Linked DNA regions of Oreochromis niloticus. The protein of the gene in region 2 purifies or fractionates together with the protein of the main gene of each other region. This does not show direct contact. Links are inferred from orthologs where the notes say so. Each region holds a gene or a part of one and is shown on either strand. Other genes may lie near its edges.

Region 1 (7,989 bases), on a different chromosome or scaffold from region 2:
TACAATAGCAGATAAAGGATATCAAGGCCACACTTCTCGTTCACCAGTCATTATCAAAACAAACCAATGGTTTCCGACTTTTTTTCCCCCCGACCTTTTAACCAAAGCCTGTTGAATAGGAGAAGTGGAAACCTGACATTTTCAGGTATCAAAATGATGTTGCTTGCAGATACTGCATATATTGTGCTTACAGATGTGTGCTTATAGAGATTACAACTCATTAAATGTTAGGTCTACTTTGTTTCCTGTCTTGTTTGTAGATAAATCTACCAGAAAAACTGTGATAAGTTGTGGTGGAAAGTTTCCTCACATTGACAAGCCGCTACGAAGTTATCAAATCTGATTTGAGAAAATTTTTTAGAGCAGTGAACCATAAATGTAGAACAATTAATGCTTTAAAAATAATTAAGGATAAATGAATCCCTGCGTTAAGGTTTGGAAAGACCACAAAAAAAAAAAGAAAAAAAAAAGGAGGCTCAGCATTTTACATTACTAAAAATAGAGGATGCATTTAAAAGGTTAAGCATTTAAATGTGCAATCAATGTTCACCTTGTTTGTATCACTCATATGGAGAGGGAAAGAAAAGATGCAAAATCCAAACAAATCAGGCTCTTTTCCTTCCCCTGAAGGAGTGTTGTGAGTCTGGACAGAGCAGGCTTACTGATAAAGCATGTAAAGCTTAGCAGTGGGATGGCTAGTAGAATCATGTATGCCAACAATGAGGGAACTTGGATATGGAGCTTGTGATATGGAAATCAGAGGCGTGAGACTGGATAGTGACAACTGGCTGGAAAAACACTTATCATGCCTGCCTACTATACATAAATGCGAATTGAAATCACTGGTTATTGTTAGACATTTCAAGGTTGCAGATCAATTAAATAACCAGTAAAAGTGTATAAAAACAGATGAAATAAAGTCCTTTAGGAATATTCAGATGTTTAAGATGGTATTTACATTTGTTAACTTATTTGACTACAACTAAGTGATGAGCTTGTGATTTTCTTCGGAATTTTCAAAATGCAGTCAGTCTCAAAGCTACTTTCAACACAGAACTGTGAAAATGAAGTGCATAAATACCTAAAACATAACTGTTATGCTACATTAGAATAATTATATAACAGCAGATGCGCTCTATGGTTGGTTTAACACGAAACTAATGACAAAATGTGATTATAAGATAACAGGCTGTGCACTCACTAGTATCTTTATGGTCAGCATATGTACTGAAACACTAAATCAACTTAATTAGCAGAAGAGTATAACATCCATAAAATCCATGTCCTGTCATATATCCATAAAAAAGGTGCCTTGTAATGTGAATCAAACAACTTTCTTTCCTCTGTGTTAAACACTGAATTCTCAAGAAGCTTCATTGTCAGTTACCCAGTCACCAAAAACTGCTAATGCCTGAGAACAAAGTGACACACATAGCGGTTTTACTACTATAATCTTGGATGTGATTAACTCCCAGAGCTGATCACATCAGGACGCACAAGTCCATGTTTGCCAGCTCAGTGCATGCTCTGTTCAGATCAACATTCAGATTTCATGATCATGCACAATTTGTAAAAACAGCAGGCTAGGCATGAGGCAGCATCATCAAGAAGCTGTGAACAGCAGCAGGAAGAGCTGACCGTGTCTAGCAACTAAAACCCAGAAAGTGTGAAAACTGTCTGTTTTTTGTGCCCTCTGTAGTTTTCAAACAATGCAGAGCATGAATAGTTCAGTCAAAATAAGACAGATGAAAACAGATCAGAAGAAAATGCTTATGTTTGTTAGAGATCTAAAAACAGGATACATGAGGAACAAGCCTTTGCTGCTGTCTGCCAAATTGTATTGTGCATTTCAATGCAATTCATTTAGAGGAACAAAGTGTGTTAATTGTTGCAGTTATAATTCGGATCACATAATGACTGATGTTACCTCGTGCAGGAGTTTAGCAGATACAAATCCAATCTAAACAAAATTACTTTGTCAGGTGACCTTCATGCAGTCTTGTATCATGGGATAGGCTAAAAATGACTGGCGTAATGGCCTCAGACAAGCTTTGGTGAACAAGGCAACATTAGATAAAGCTCATCATAAGCAAAGAATTAAGCTTGTTTTCCTATCACTGTACTGTCAAGGGCAGAAGCAGTAAACTATAAAAACAAAGCTGAATCATTTACTCCAAGGCTAGAGTTTTTAGATGCAAACACTGCTCCCCCCCGCATTTTCCCTGTCATCTGCTTTTCCTTGTTAACGTCCAAGTGGCATTTTCCTGTTTTGCAAATAACCCCTGAACTACAACTTCCCTTTCAAACCTGCAGCCACTAAACATCCTGAGGGGGAAAGAAAAAAAAAGAAAGAAAAAAAAAAAACATGGATAGTCTACTTGGCAGACAGTGCAGAGGATTTAATGTTGTTGACTCTGCTTTTTCCCCTTTTTTGGACAAGAGTGCACTTTATTCACTCAGGCTTCACTGCCTTTTCTGACCGATTATTGGACTTGGCAAGACACTGATGTGACTTTACAACTATAACTATGAAGGTGGACTCATTTACACACGTACACTCTTTAGATAGCCACGACGAGGGCAGATGAACATGTCAGCGATAAAGAACGAAATGTGATAGTAAAAGCAGAGTTTTTTTAAACTGATAGCAATTTTTCTCCGTGTTTAGCCACATATGTGACTAGATTTACCAAATATATGACTTAGATATTACATTTCGCTTGTTTGCACCCCAAACTACGTACCCAACCCTTAAATTCGTTCCACAGTTAATATAACCAGAAAGATGTTAGTTCAGAGGAACAAAGGAAATAATACAACCGAGGCTAAAGAACATACCTATTCATGTTGCAGTTTCTTCACTTGACCAAGCACGAGTGGCAAACACCACACAGGGAAATGCGTTTCTTGTTCTTCTACCCAAACCTGTTCCTCCAGATTTGACTGGAGCACAGGTGGCGTCTTATTCCAATCACGTTGAACACATATCCTCATTTCACTCTTGATGTTTTATTTTCTTTAAACAATCAGACAGAAGCTATTGTTCAACGATTTGTTCTTACAGGCTGTCTTGAATAAAGACAACCTATTTATTTTGCCGAGGAGGAAGGTGTGTCATGTTTTGGGTAGGAGGGTTGACTAATAACAAACAAGGGGACCTATGACATCATACCAGACAAGCAAAGCCTAAACTGTGACATTTGATTCCACTATTTATATACGACAAAAGCAGGTTTTCCTGACTATCAAGACAGAAGACACTGAGGAAAATACGACATGTGGTTAATGATTCCTGCTGTAACACGTATCCACACACCTGACTGTGGTTAACTGCCAAGTGGCCACGTAACGTGGGTCACTTGATAAACAGGTGACGTTAGCCTGAATGAGAAACAAACCAAAAGTATTACAAGAAACCCCCGTAGTTTCAGGCAGTGTCCCACACCCAGTACACCATCGCTGGGGCCGAGAGGTTTCCAAAACAACACTTCTTAAACTTAATGAAAAAGTTACAAAAGAGGGAAAGACAAGTGTCAAACAGTTTATCAAAGCGAATTAAACTTGTCTTACATTGTCTGAAAACTTGCAGTGGTGCTCAGCTATCGCAAAGAGGGTAAAATCCGAGAGGGTAACTTCGTAAACTGGCTAATGTGCTGGCTAGCCTGCTAGTTAGCTAGTTCCGCTTTCTTGTCAACTACCTAACGCTAACACTCAAACAACTGTGTTGAGAGGAAAGTATAGGTAGATATTTATTAAGGGAGTAAATACTTACAGTTAACCCTCCTTGTTTTTTTTTGAAAAGATGACCTGAAAACTCCTCCTTCTTGACGGTATGTGAACTTGGCACTGGCAACTCCCGAATTCCTTCACTGGTTCCGCTGTCTGTCCGAAGATGGTGCTTTCATATGCTGTCGGAAATATGAAAACTCAAAACTTTCAACGATTTTGAGGCGCACTTCAACTTCACATAAAGGACCTTGCATCCCACGGTCACCCAGAACGATTTGAGGCACGGCATGCATTACTTCTCTTCCTATAGGTTTAACAATCTAAAACTGAAAAAGTAGTCTGGTTCTCAGGTAGTCAACTTTACACGAAAAGTTGACTTAAATATAACTGTGAAACTACTTGTGTTTTTCGTCTGTGTTTATCTTTTAGCTGCTGTATACTGATTTAACAAAATCATGAGACAATACAACTTGTGTGAAGTTACTTGGCTTCCACTTAAGATTAGTGTTTCTTTCTTGCTAATCAATTTTCTTTGTGGCCTTACTGTGCATCAAACTGCGACTCATAGAGAAGTGAGCGTTCCGTTAGCATTGAACGCAACACTTAATGATGCGCATGTCCTGTCATATGACTCCACAGAGGAAAAAGAAGAAAAAAAAGCGCTGCTCATTTTCCCCACATGAGTGCAGCATTTACCCTTCACCTGGACCTACCCCCCTCACCCCCGTCGCCCCCCCCTCTTCTGGGTATTTTACATGAAGACACACTGTTGGATATTTTTCATAGTGTTTCTAAGCGATGCTCTGAAATCCGAGCCTCAAGCAAAGAATCTGCTGTGTAATTCCCCAAGTTTTATGGTTTAAACCACAAAAGCCTTTTCAAGGTGACTGCAAAGACACCGGGCAGAGTGCCAGCCACAATATCAGCTGACAGTGTCTAAAAGGCAAGTTTTATTTTTCTCTCTAACTGGAGCTAAATATTTTCCCTGTTGGGTCACCTATAGCTAAATATGTACAAGCTGAAAAGCCTGTAATAGCTCCAAATTTGCACAAGGGATGCTCCAACGCTGCCCTCACCAAACTGGCCATGGTGCCTGAATGATTCTTAGCTCTCTCTGCCCATGTATCTTTTATAGAGTCTACATAGCATGCATTATTCAGCAATAACACACGGCCCATCTGGACTCCTGCAAATGTGTTTGTGCATGTGTCTATGTAAGGGTGTGGGGGTCCATAGTTAACTTTCTTGCTGTGCCATTTCACCATTTCACGCCACATCCAACAGTGCCTGAAGAGCTGAAATTATTTCTTCTGTAATTACAAGTAAGGTATAATGTGTGTGTGTGTGTGTGTGTGTGAGAGAGAGAGAGAGAGAGAGAGAGGAAGGTAAGGGCAAAGAATAGAAAGAGAAATATATTAGGTGAATGTGTAATAGTGACTGCAGATGGCACATTGAGGAACAAGCTCTTTCATCATCCTGTTCCTCATTAATAGAGATGGGAGTGCTGCCCTAATTCCATAATTCCTAAATCATGCTAGTTAGTTGAGTATGAGGAGACAAAAATACAAGGGAGAGAGAAGAATAGATTAGCCTATACCCTAATAATGTGTTTGAGAGCGCAAGGAAGCATCAGAAGAGGAGATGAAGGGGGAAAGGGAAAGAGGGGGGAGAAAAATGGAGATCGCCATCTGTATTTCCTCGGTTGCTTTTTGATTGTTGCCAAAACTAACATCATATAGGCCAAGTTTATTCTCGCCAACTTTTGTCCCATGTGTATGGCAGCCAGTGAAAATAGATAAAATAATCAAGTGATTAATTAGATCTGGAAGAGAATACATGGGGATATAAAAGAGCGTGTCTGAGCATGTGTGTCAGTGACATAGCCCTGATTTCTTGTTTCTCGTGATTTCAAGGAGCACATCTGTTCATTTCTGGCGCCGCTCCAGTTGGATCGTACATCCATCTTTCCTCGCACAAGGACCGAGACGTGGGAATGTTTCAAGGCCTTGCTTGATCGGGCTTAATTTAACATTAGGCTAATTCCGCTGATACCTGATACTTGTCAGGACAACGAATTGGCTGACCAAGCGTGCATCTCAATATTCAGAGATAATTTCATTCCCTCGTCTCCTTTTCACTGCAATCTACTCTTTCTCCATTTGAATTGAGCTCTCATGTGAAGCAATTTGAAGGAAACTAGAGACATCGATAGCCATTAGCCCGCTTTGCACAGGAGGGCCAAACATGGAAAGCCAAGGCTCATCTATTATTCATGTGCCTCAGTTTTCCCCCAAAACAACATTTCTGATATTCTTTTTACATCTCGCTGCCAAAAGCGACAAGTCAGTAGTTTCAAATAACGCTTTTAAAACAAAGCTGATGAATGTTTCAAGCTAGCACTAGCCCTTACAAACCCCAAAAGGAAAAGTTCCTATTGTATGTCTGGCTGTTTATGTCCGGATATGGGGAAAACCTAACGAGCTTAAGGAGGAAAGCAAACATTTCATCTTCACTTGTTAAACATTAAACTTTCTTGTTAGATCAGTCCAGCTGCAGAGACAGTGGAATGGTCACAATCTTCCTCCTCCAACCAGTAAGCATTACATCCATGTTTGTACAGACTTGACCTTTGACCTTTCAAACTCAAATGTTTATGCTTTTAGACATTTGTTAGTGTGTGGATTCTTGATTTATAGGCCAAAAGGTCTAGGAAGGGGTACAAAATAAATGTAGGGTAATAAATTGATGAATTCTACAACAATTCTTTTTACTTAGAAAACTAATTCTCATTGATTTACTTTTTGCTTTCTTTTAAACAGTTTAACAGTTAACACTTACTTAAATGACACCTTGTGTAAAGGGAAAATCATCATCAATGTTGGTGAAAATTAAAACAAGTCATAAACAAACGCTCAAAGTTTCCACTCAATTCCAGCTTATAATGTTATAGAATTTAAAGACAGTCTAAAAATAGAAGTAAAATATTAAGACACACTGTTGTGAAATATTAGGGACTTGAGATAACCCCCTACTGAGATAAACAGCTGTAGACAGTTGGTCAGATGCCATAAAACCAGTGTAGAAGAAGACATCATAAACAGATGGTGCAATTAAAAAGAGCAAATTTCAAGTGAATTTTGTTTGTTTCATGTATTATTTCTTTAATCTATTTTAATGTAATTTAACTCCTTCTTGAGCCACCTATCTGAACATTTACCCACTCCAAGTGTTGGTCTCGTTTAAAGCTTGAGTGTAATATTTCAGCTTCAGTTTGCATTCTCATTCATTTCCACCTTTAAAAAAAGAAGGCAAGTGCACAAAAATGCACTTAGAAATACTTGAAATCTATCTGGACACAGCTTTGTGTATAGAGGAGGTCTTTCTTCTATCTGTGTTTTGCAAAATCAGAAATCTAGTGGAGTATTTTCCTTCTAAAATGTAATGCAGTTTAGACCATGGAGATACAGTAAAGTGCAAGTGCAGTCAGTACATGAGATCTCCTTTTATGCTCATTTCTAGCTCAGTGTTTTTATTCTGGGAGTATGGTAGTGTGAATAATTTAAAGTTCAAAATAATTTATCTTATACTAAGCTACTGTGGAGCCACTTATTTCATCCACTGCCTGAAACGAGCTCTTCTCTCTGAAAGACCATCCTGCTTGAAGCCAGCTTTCTCCCGATTGGCTGCCCCTCCCAAACAAAAGGTTTTAACAGCAGGTCTTCGAAGCTCCTATTGTCATAGCCAGATCTGAGTACCTTAAATGATCATTTGAATGATTTCCCCTCTCTACTCATATAGAGCCATGAGTAGAAAAAGCAGGTTGAAGCCTGATCTGACCACCAACCACTGCTACAGCATTTATAATTACAAAAAGCGTAATAGGTCAACTTCGAAGACACTGCTTGGTTATTAGCACTTGCAGGCCACCCTTCTTGAAATCTGATGGAAACAGAAGAGGAAAGGCTATCAAGTTATTCACTCTCCTTGTTGTCAGCAGTTCAGATTAGCTGTCACATCACTGAGGGAGAAACAGCTGAAGATTGGAGAGGGTGATTTCATCTGAATAATTTCATGCTTTGACTGGCAGAGCTCACTGCTCACCGTCCCACAGCTTTGATGTCAGAGGAAGATAGACTGGGTAAAATAAAGACCCAGGTGCAGTCTAATATATGAATACAATCATCAGCACTTTGGAGGAAGAAAACAAAAAACAAACAAAGTTAATTCACATTTCCACTGAAGAAATTCCACTCACTTGGC
Region 2 (7,228 bases):
ACAGGTTTTATGCTGGTACTTATCCACTCAAAACACTGTGAAACTAATACACTTACCTTATTGAGGGAGTCACACAAATGATCATTACAGCTAAAATTGATTTGATATCGATGCTGTGAAATAAAATATAATAAATATGCTGCAGAATTCAAAGATTTTCACATTTTAACCTTAAAAAAAAACCCATCTATCAAGGCCAAAAGCGCAGGCCCACAGTCTGATAAAGGTGTGTCGGTGCGTAATGCATTTCCTTATGGGATATTTGCTCATATCATACTGTACAACCTGAAGTGAAGGAGGGTTGGGTCAGGAATATTTAGAACAAGCTCCTCATAAGACTTCCTGACTCAAAAAAGACTGAAACCTAGTATGCAAATAACCACCTGCTAAGAAACTGTCACAGTGACGGGATATTTCTCGTTTGCTTTAATGAAAAATTAAAGTGTGATTAGGGTTAATGAAACTAACGTGCATGTTCTGAGGCTGATTCTGTCTCCTTGCCAACAAGGAAAAAATGCGGAAATCAGCAGAGTATTTTTTTTTATGCCATCAACATGAACGGATGAAGTGCAAATACTTAGTTATGACCTACTTGTGTTTGTTGGGGTTAACGCTGTTCTAATGTTACCTGTACACTGCTCTTCATTTTAACATTAGCGGGTTTAAGAGTCATGAAGTTACAAGAGAAGTCAGTATGAAGATGTTTGTCGCTTTTCGTTGCAAAAAAACAAACAAACTTAAAAATACGAAACAGCCTCGTAAAAATGCGTTGGTCGTCTAAAACGTCAGTGAAATTGTCAAGAATGACTAAAAGTTTACTTGAGTTGCGTAAAAGTTTGAACTTTACCTTTCTCGTGACTTGTTTCTTGCGTCGATGTGCTTCCTGATTTTTTCCGTTGGCCACTCCTCCATCACATGATGTCTGCTGCACTCACAGCGAGATCGCAGCTGTTAATAAAAAGTGTCAAACGGTAACATAATGGAGCCCAGAAAAGTATGGAAACAAAAACTGTCCTTTTCTTAAAAATAGAGCAACGACGCAGTACAGGTTAGGTATTTCATGATCTTTCATTCTTGGTTACTTTTCGACTGTAGGCTACCAGGTGAGATGCTGGTTCCTGGGCAGGTGAGGGGTCCAAATCAGTTTTAAAAATGCTAGTTTACACTGGACAACATCAATGCTTCTAGTTAGTGTAAGAGCCATAAAAGTAAAAGGGATTATAATTCTGTTTAGGTCTTGGGTGTCAAACATGAGGCTCGGGGCCCAGAATCGGCCTCATAAATTGAATTCAAATTGAATTGAATACATTCCTTTTACATCGTGGGCCACATACAGCCAACTTTACAAAACCCCCTTTCTCTGAACGTAAAGACGTTTAATAGCACATTTATTCCCCTTTAATATAAGAAACAATTAGTGCAATTTCAACATCACACCTATGCCGTTTTTCTACATGGTAAAGTTGGCTGGTTGGTTTCCACAGTGTGTCTTTTGGCCTGTCTCCCTCCCATCATGCCCAGCTAGTCACTGCAGATGGCCTCCCCTTGTTGAGCCTGGTTCTGCCAGAGGTTTCTTCCTGTTAAATGGGAGTTTTTTATTCCCACTGTCACCAATTGCTTGCTCATAGAGGGTCATTTGATTGTAGCAGTTTTCTCTCTGTTATTGTAGGTTCTTTACCTTAAAATATAAAGCTACTTTTGATTTGGCATTAAGTAAAATTTAATTGCACTATGTGTGCAGAAATGTACACAACAATTTAAGTATGATTGTGTAAAGTGTGTCCATTTGCTTCAGTGTGTATGTATGTTACTAGTCTAGTTGATTCATAGGGTGTTCACTTCTATGTGCATGAGTTTCCAGTCCAGACCCTGAGTACTGAGCTTTCTGAGGCCTAATGGAAGAAACCGTTGCACTGACTGGAACTGAGGGCCTAGATGTTCTGGTACCTCTTGTGAGGTGGCAGGAGAGTAAAAGGTTTGCGTCAGGTGTGTGTGGGATCATACACAATGATGGTGGCTTTGTGAATACAGAGTTTGTGGGATATGACCTTGAAGGTGGGGAAAGAAACTGGTGATTCTTTCAGCTGTTTTCACTTTTCACTATTCACTGCAAGGATTTTGTGATCTGATACTGTACCGTTCCCATGTCAGATAGTTATGCAGCTGCTTGGGATACTCTTAATAGTCAACCCTGTATTGTCGTTAGGATGGATGGATGGACTTTTCTCACCTTCCACAGAAAATAGATGGACTGCTGGGCCTTCTCACCAGTGAATGTGGTGTTGAGGGACCCGGAGAGACCTAATTAACTCTTTGGTGGGGGGGGGGGTTCTGCAGCTAACATGGGTCATAACTGATTAACCACAACAATAAAACAACTGACAGATGAAATGAATACATTCATTATCTCTTCGCAATGCAGAGTTTTCATGGAAAACCTTGTGAATGTTACTTTTACAGGTGTCTATCCACCAAACAATTCTCTAGCACCCTCCAATGGCAGCATCCTCCTATTGCAGGACAGTGCATCTTGCCACCCCAAAAAACTGCTAAGAACAGCTAATTTGCATAAATCAAACTCCTCAGATCTCAATCTGAACATCCACGAATGAGCCAGAATAGACCAGATCCACAGTGGACACACCCACAAGACCAAAGGACCCATGTTCATGCATTAATAGCCCAGAAATGAACTGTGTACAAATGATGGATGTAACGTAAATGTGTCTGTCTCTAAAGCGCTTTGGGTCACCTTCTGTGGTTTAAATGTGCTATAGGCTATTTAAAAAATTGGCAGTGAGCTGCATACTGAACTCAGATAATAGAACAGTATTGATTCTATCATGCTAGTATCAATTCGATACCAATAGTCGCATTGGTAATGATATTATCTAATAGTTCCCAAAAAGAGTCAAAATGTCAAAAGTCAAAAAGAACAACAACATAGAATATCCTACTAGGTAGGCCTACCTTGTCTGAGAAATCACCACAATACTGTGAGTGTCCCTCAGTTGGATCAATCCCTTACATGTCACATCCACAGCAAGATGACAAAACACTCAGCTTGAGGTTACAACACAGCATTTGTGTGCAGTTAAAGGGCAGCACAAAGGCGACTTATAGCAACAACTGGTTTTAATGTTTTGCTGATATGTGCATTTGTTAAATTGTTTCCTTTAAGCTTGTACTGGACATTTTTTTAATAATATGCTACTTTAGACTTACATGCCACCATATTGCTGAAAGACATTTCTTTTTAATTTGCTACCCTTCTTTACATATAAAATGGGCTTTGCTTTCAGAATAATGCAGAATCTGGATTAAAATAGTATTACCTAACAGTTCACTTCCTAACACCACCTCAACTTTTTAAAATTGTAGTTATAATTTCGTCCTTGCTGTATTGTCCATGCAAAGTGCGGTCATTTACAAAACACATTATGATGTTACATAAAGCTACGAGACATGTTCTGTTTACCAGACAGCATTAGCACATCAAAGTTCACTCAGATTAACCAAATCAATAACACTCTTAACTTCTGTATCCAGTACAGACTCACTGGACTGTACTGCACTTTGTTAAGTGCAATGGTTTGACTGATTATTAAGGTAATTCTCTAATCAGCCAATCTCATGGCAGCAACTACATGCATAGACATGTAGTCCATATCTAAATGTACAGGCAGATAGCCAAGGCCAAGATGAACTAATGAAGTTCAAACCAAGGATCAGAATGGGGATGAAAGGTTATAGTGGCTTTGAACGTGTTGGTTGTTGGTGCCAGATGGGCTGGTCTGGCTCTTTTAGGAATTTCCCCACTCAGCCATCTCTAGTGTTTACAAAGAAAGGTCCAAAAAAGAGAAAAAAGACTGTTTCAAGATTATAGTAAGGCAACAGTAATTCAAATAACCACTGAACCTTGAAGCAGATGGGCTCCAGCAGCACACTGGATGCCACTCCTATCAACCAAGAACATAAAACTAAAGCTATGGTCAGCACCTTGTTGAGTCTGTGACACAAATAATTAAGGCAGTTCTGATGAAAAAAGGGGGCCCAACTTAGTGTGAGCAAGGTGTAACTAATGAAGTCTTCAGTGAGTGTATGTGAAAGTAAATTTGATGAGTTTTTCCAGATAAAAAGTGTTATCTTTGGCTACTTAAGGGGGTAAAAATCTGCATACTTTTTCCAAGAATTCTTAGAAGTTATTTGGGGGTTTGTGTTTCCAGATTCAATTTACTGATGGTATCACTATAAAAGTTGTGGATTTGGGTTCATGTAAACAAATCAGCTCGAAGGATGAACAGATGTACTTTGCACTGAACTCAGTATTCTCTGAGTGTTTGGGCAATACTCAGCTGTATGTACTTAAATTCTCTTATCTGTTAGTCAGGGTCCAGTGAGCCATATGTCACATGGACTAATGTGATTGGGTGCAGATTTGCATGCACTGACTTTGGGATTCAGAGAAGTTATATAAACGCTGTATGTAAAGGAAAACTCTCAGTCCAGAGTAGCTGCTCTTGACTCTGTCCTTCTCTGCAGACCCAACACCACAGTCATGCTGCGTTTGCTGGTCCTTGGCCTCGTCCTGGCATGTGCAGTGTCTCTCAGCAGCTCTGCAGTAATTCTAGAAAATGGCGCTCCCATCCTTTGGGCACAAACGGCCAGCCAAGTGACTGAGTTGCCAATGCATGATGGGATTCTGCTTCCAGACCCCTGGAACTACCTTCACCGCATGAGTTTATACCGGCTGATGATAGCTGCTACAGACCCCTTCATGGGATCCATGGGGACAAATGCTACTGACAGTCCGCTGTGGGGACTGCCACTGCAGCTCGGATGGATGTTAACTTCAGGTGAAGTCAAAATATAATTTTATTATTTTTTTTAAAATCAATAATAATCCTTTCATCACAATTTAACAAACTTTGTAGTACAAAACTGAATAAAGAGCCTCCTAATAATGCAACTAACAAAGAAACAAGACCACAGCTAATGATCTGTTGTTTCTACAGGGCGTCTCGCTGATCCAACAGGTGCAACAACTTGTGGCCTGGAAGCAGAGCCTTTGTGCATTTCTACCCAGAGTTGGTGGGCCTGTAAGTACAAGGAACAAATGCATAAAAAACAAACACAGGGGGAATACAAATGACCTCTTTATGTTTCTCCAGGTGTGAACTATTTTGCATCTGTACTTCCCTTTCTGTCTGCCGCACAACAGGGCTTCATGGGAGCAGGAGCTCAGGTACTGTCTTAAACTGAAAATGAACACTTAGAAAATAAAACAACAACAACAACAACAACAATAATAATAATAATAAGAAGAAGAAGAAGAAGACGAAGAAGAGTACACTTTTTTTATGCCATCACACAAATATTTGCAATTTAAATAATAATGAATATGACCATTTTGTATTATTTATAATGTATGTTATATAGTGCATATTATCATGTATGTTATTACATTACCAGGTCCAGATGCAGGTGCCTGCAGGAGTACAGGACTATTGTACAACTTATGCTGACTGTAAAGCTAAATACCCTGATGCCATGTCTAAGTGGGATGCTTTTTTTCAGGTATTGAAACACAGATATACACTGGTACATATACACACGGTTTCTATTCACATAAAATTATCCCGCAATTTTAAAGGGGAACTGAACTTGTATTATTTTGTCCTTAGCAGAAAAAATTACATTTTAAAAAGTAGTAAAATAAAGTAAAATAGTTCAAAACAGGTCTGTGTTCCCTGAATGCACCAGCTTTATGAAACAACAAAGCTACATTGCTGAAATAGGTGTACTCCTTTAATTGTTCATATTGTTTTAAGGGTCTGAAGACTACTAGTGAATCTCTTCTGCCTGATGATGTGAAGAAAGACACTATCCTCGGTGTCTATTGGGACGCCCAAATGGCTTCAACCTATGCCTCTGCAGCATGTAATGCCAGGTAATTTCTTTTACTTTCACTGTAACCATGTTACTTATTAATTGTAGACTATGTCATTTTCATTTTTTATTCTACTGCTGTAACACAATAACCCTTGTTAGATCAATAAAGTATCTATTTTTATCTATCATAAAATCTATAATTTTAATGCATTTCATTACTAAAACATTTACACATACCCTCCTCCCCAGTCACCCATCCTGTTTTAACATATTACAAATCGTGTACACACGCATTCATACATGACAATGACATTGACTAAATCTACTTCATCTTTTTTTTCTGGCAGTCTTGTTAGTTTTAGCAGTGTCAGTACTCTTTCCTGCACAAATTTTAACATCAATGCCCTTATTGCCAATACTAATGAAGCTGGAAAAAGTATTAAAGCAAAAATGATTAATATCCTTATTATTTATAAATGTTTATAAATACAATTGTTTTTGTCCACTGAAATGTTTTTGGTAGTTCATTGCACACCAAAACTACCAAGGACGAGGCCTTGCTGTTTTTCCCTGCAAGTGGTCAAAAAAGCCAAACATTTATCTCAAATTTCAGCTCTCTTAATCTCAGCTTCTGTGCTCTTGCTTCTCCTATAGGCAGAGCCACTATTCCTCTGTAGAAGTGTCATTTGCTCAGAGCTGGCTGAACTCAGCAGAATATGTAGCAGCAGCTCGATTCCAGGCCAACATGGAAAAAGCACTGCTTTTCCTATCCCCTCTGCCAAGTCGGATTTTACAGGTACATACCTTCAACCTTTTCCATCTGTTTATTTTACACATCACTTCTTGTTTTCTGAAACACACAAAGTGAGAGAAGGCTTTTATCCACTCTCCATTCTGTCTTATCATTTTAGGAGGGCGACAGCGCACCTAACATTGTTGGTCTGACTGCGGAGGAGAACCACACACTGTATATCTTCAGCTGGATGAAGACTATCGACAGTCTGCTTGGTAGGACACACACACACACACACACACACACAAGCAAACACAAAATATTATTGCTAAGCTTTTATTTTAAGTTATGCTCATGATGATGATTTACCAGGTGGGACATTGCTGCGTCTGTGGAAAGGTGCCATGTGTTCAGTAAACACAAGGCAAAAAGGTGCGCAGGTGCTGGAGCAGCTCCTCCTGAATCCCAGCTTTGCTACAAGCACTTTCCTGTCCATCATCACTGAGATGACTACCAGCTGCTGAGTCAAACACATAAGATAAATACATCACGGTATTCATTTTTTCTCCTGAAAAATGACATTTTTGTCCATTAAACAAAGTT

The links. Proteins that work in one complex are often made in the same cells at the same time.
Region 1: the proteins of syntaxin-7 (region 2) and snap23.1 purify together in Homo sapiens (affinity purification with mass spectrometry; 3 studies listed by BioGRID and IntAct, counting the BioPlex papers as one, with this or other methods). This does not show direct contact. The link is inferred for Oreochromis niloticus from reciprocal best matches to the Homo sapiens genes STX7 and SNAP23.

Annotation. Positions count from the first base shown.
Region 1 is NC_031983.2:19,368,569-19,376,557, forward strand, and holds the start of snap23.1 (synaptosome associated protein 23.1), read right to left. Parts: upstream 3,042-7,989; 5' UTR 2,847-3,041; coding exon 2,839-2,846; intron 1-2,838. UniProt on the Homo sapiens protein: Essential component of the high affinity receptor for the general membrane fusion machinery and an important regulator of transport vesicle docking and fusion.
Region 2 is NC_031980.2:5,910,510-5,917,737, reverse strand, and holds the start of syntaxin-7, read right to left. Parts: upstream 3,085-7,228; 5' UTR 2,971-3,084; intron 949-2,970; 5' UTR 848-948; intron 1-847. Other genes in the region: leg1.1 (liver-enriched gene 1, tandem duplicate 1), read left to right, coding at 4,559-4,856, 5,016-5,099, 5,172-5,245, 5,473-5,577, 5,832-5,950, 6,547-6,688, 6,804-6,900, 6,998-7,149. UniProt on the Homo sapiens protein: May be involved in protein trafficking from the plasma membrane to the early endosome (EE) as well as in homotypic fusion of endocytic organelles. Mediates the endocytic trafficking from early endosomes to late endosomes and lysosomes.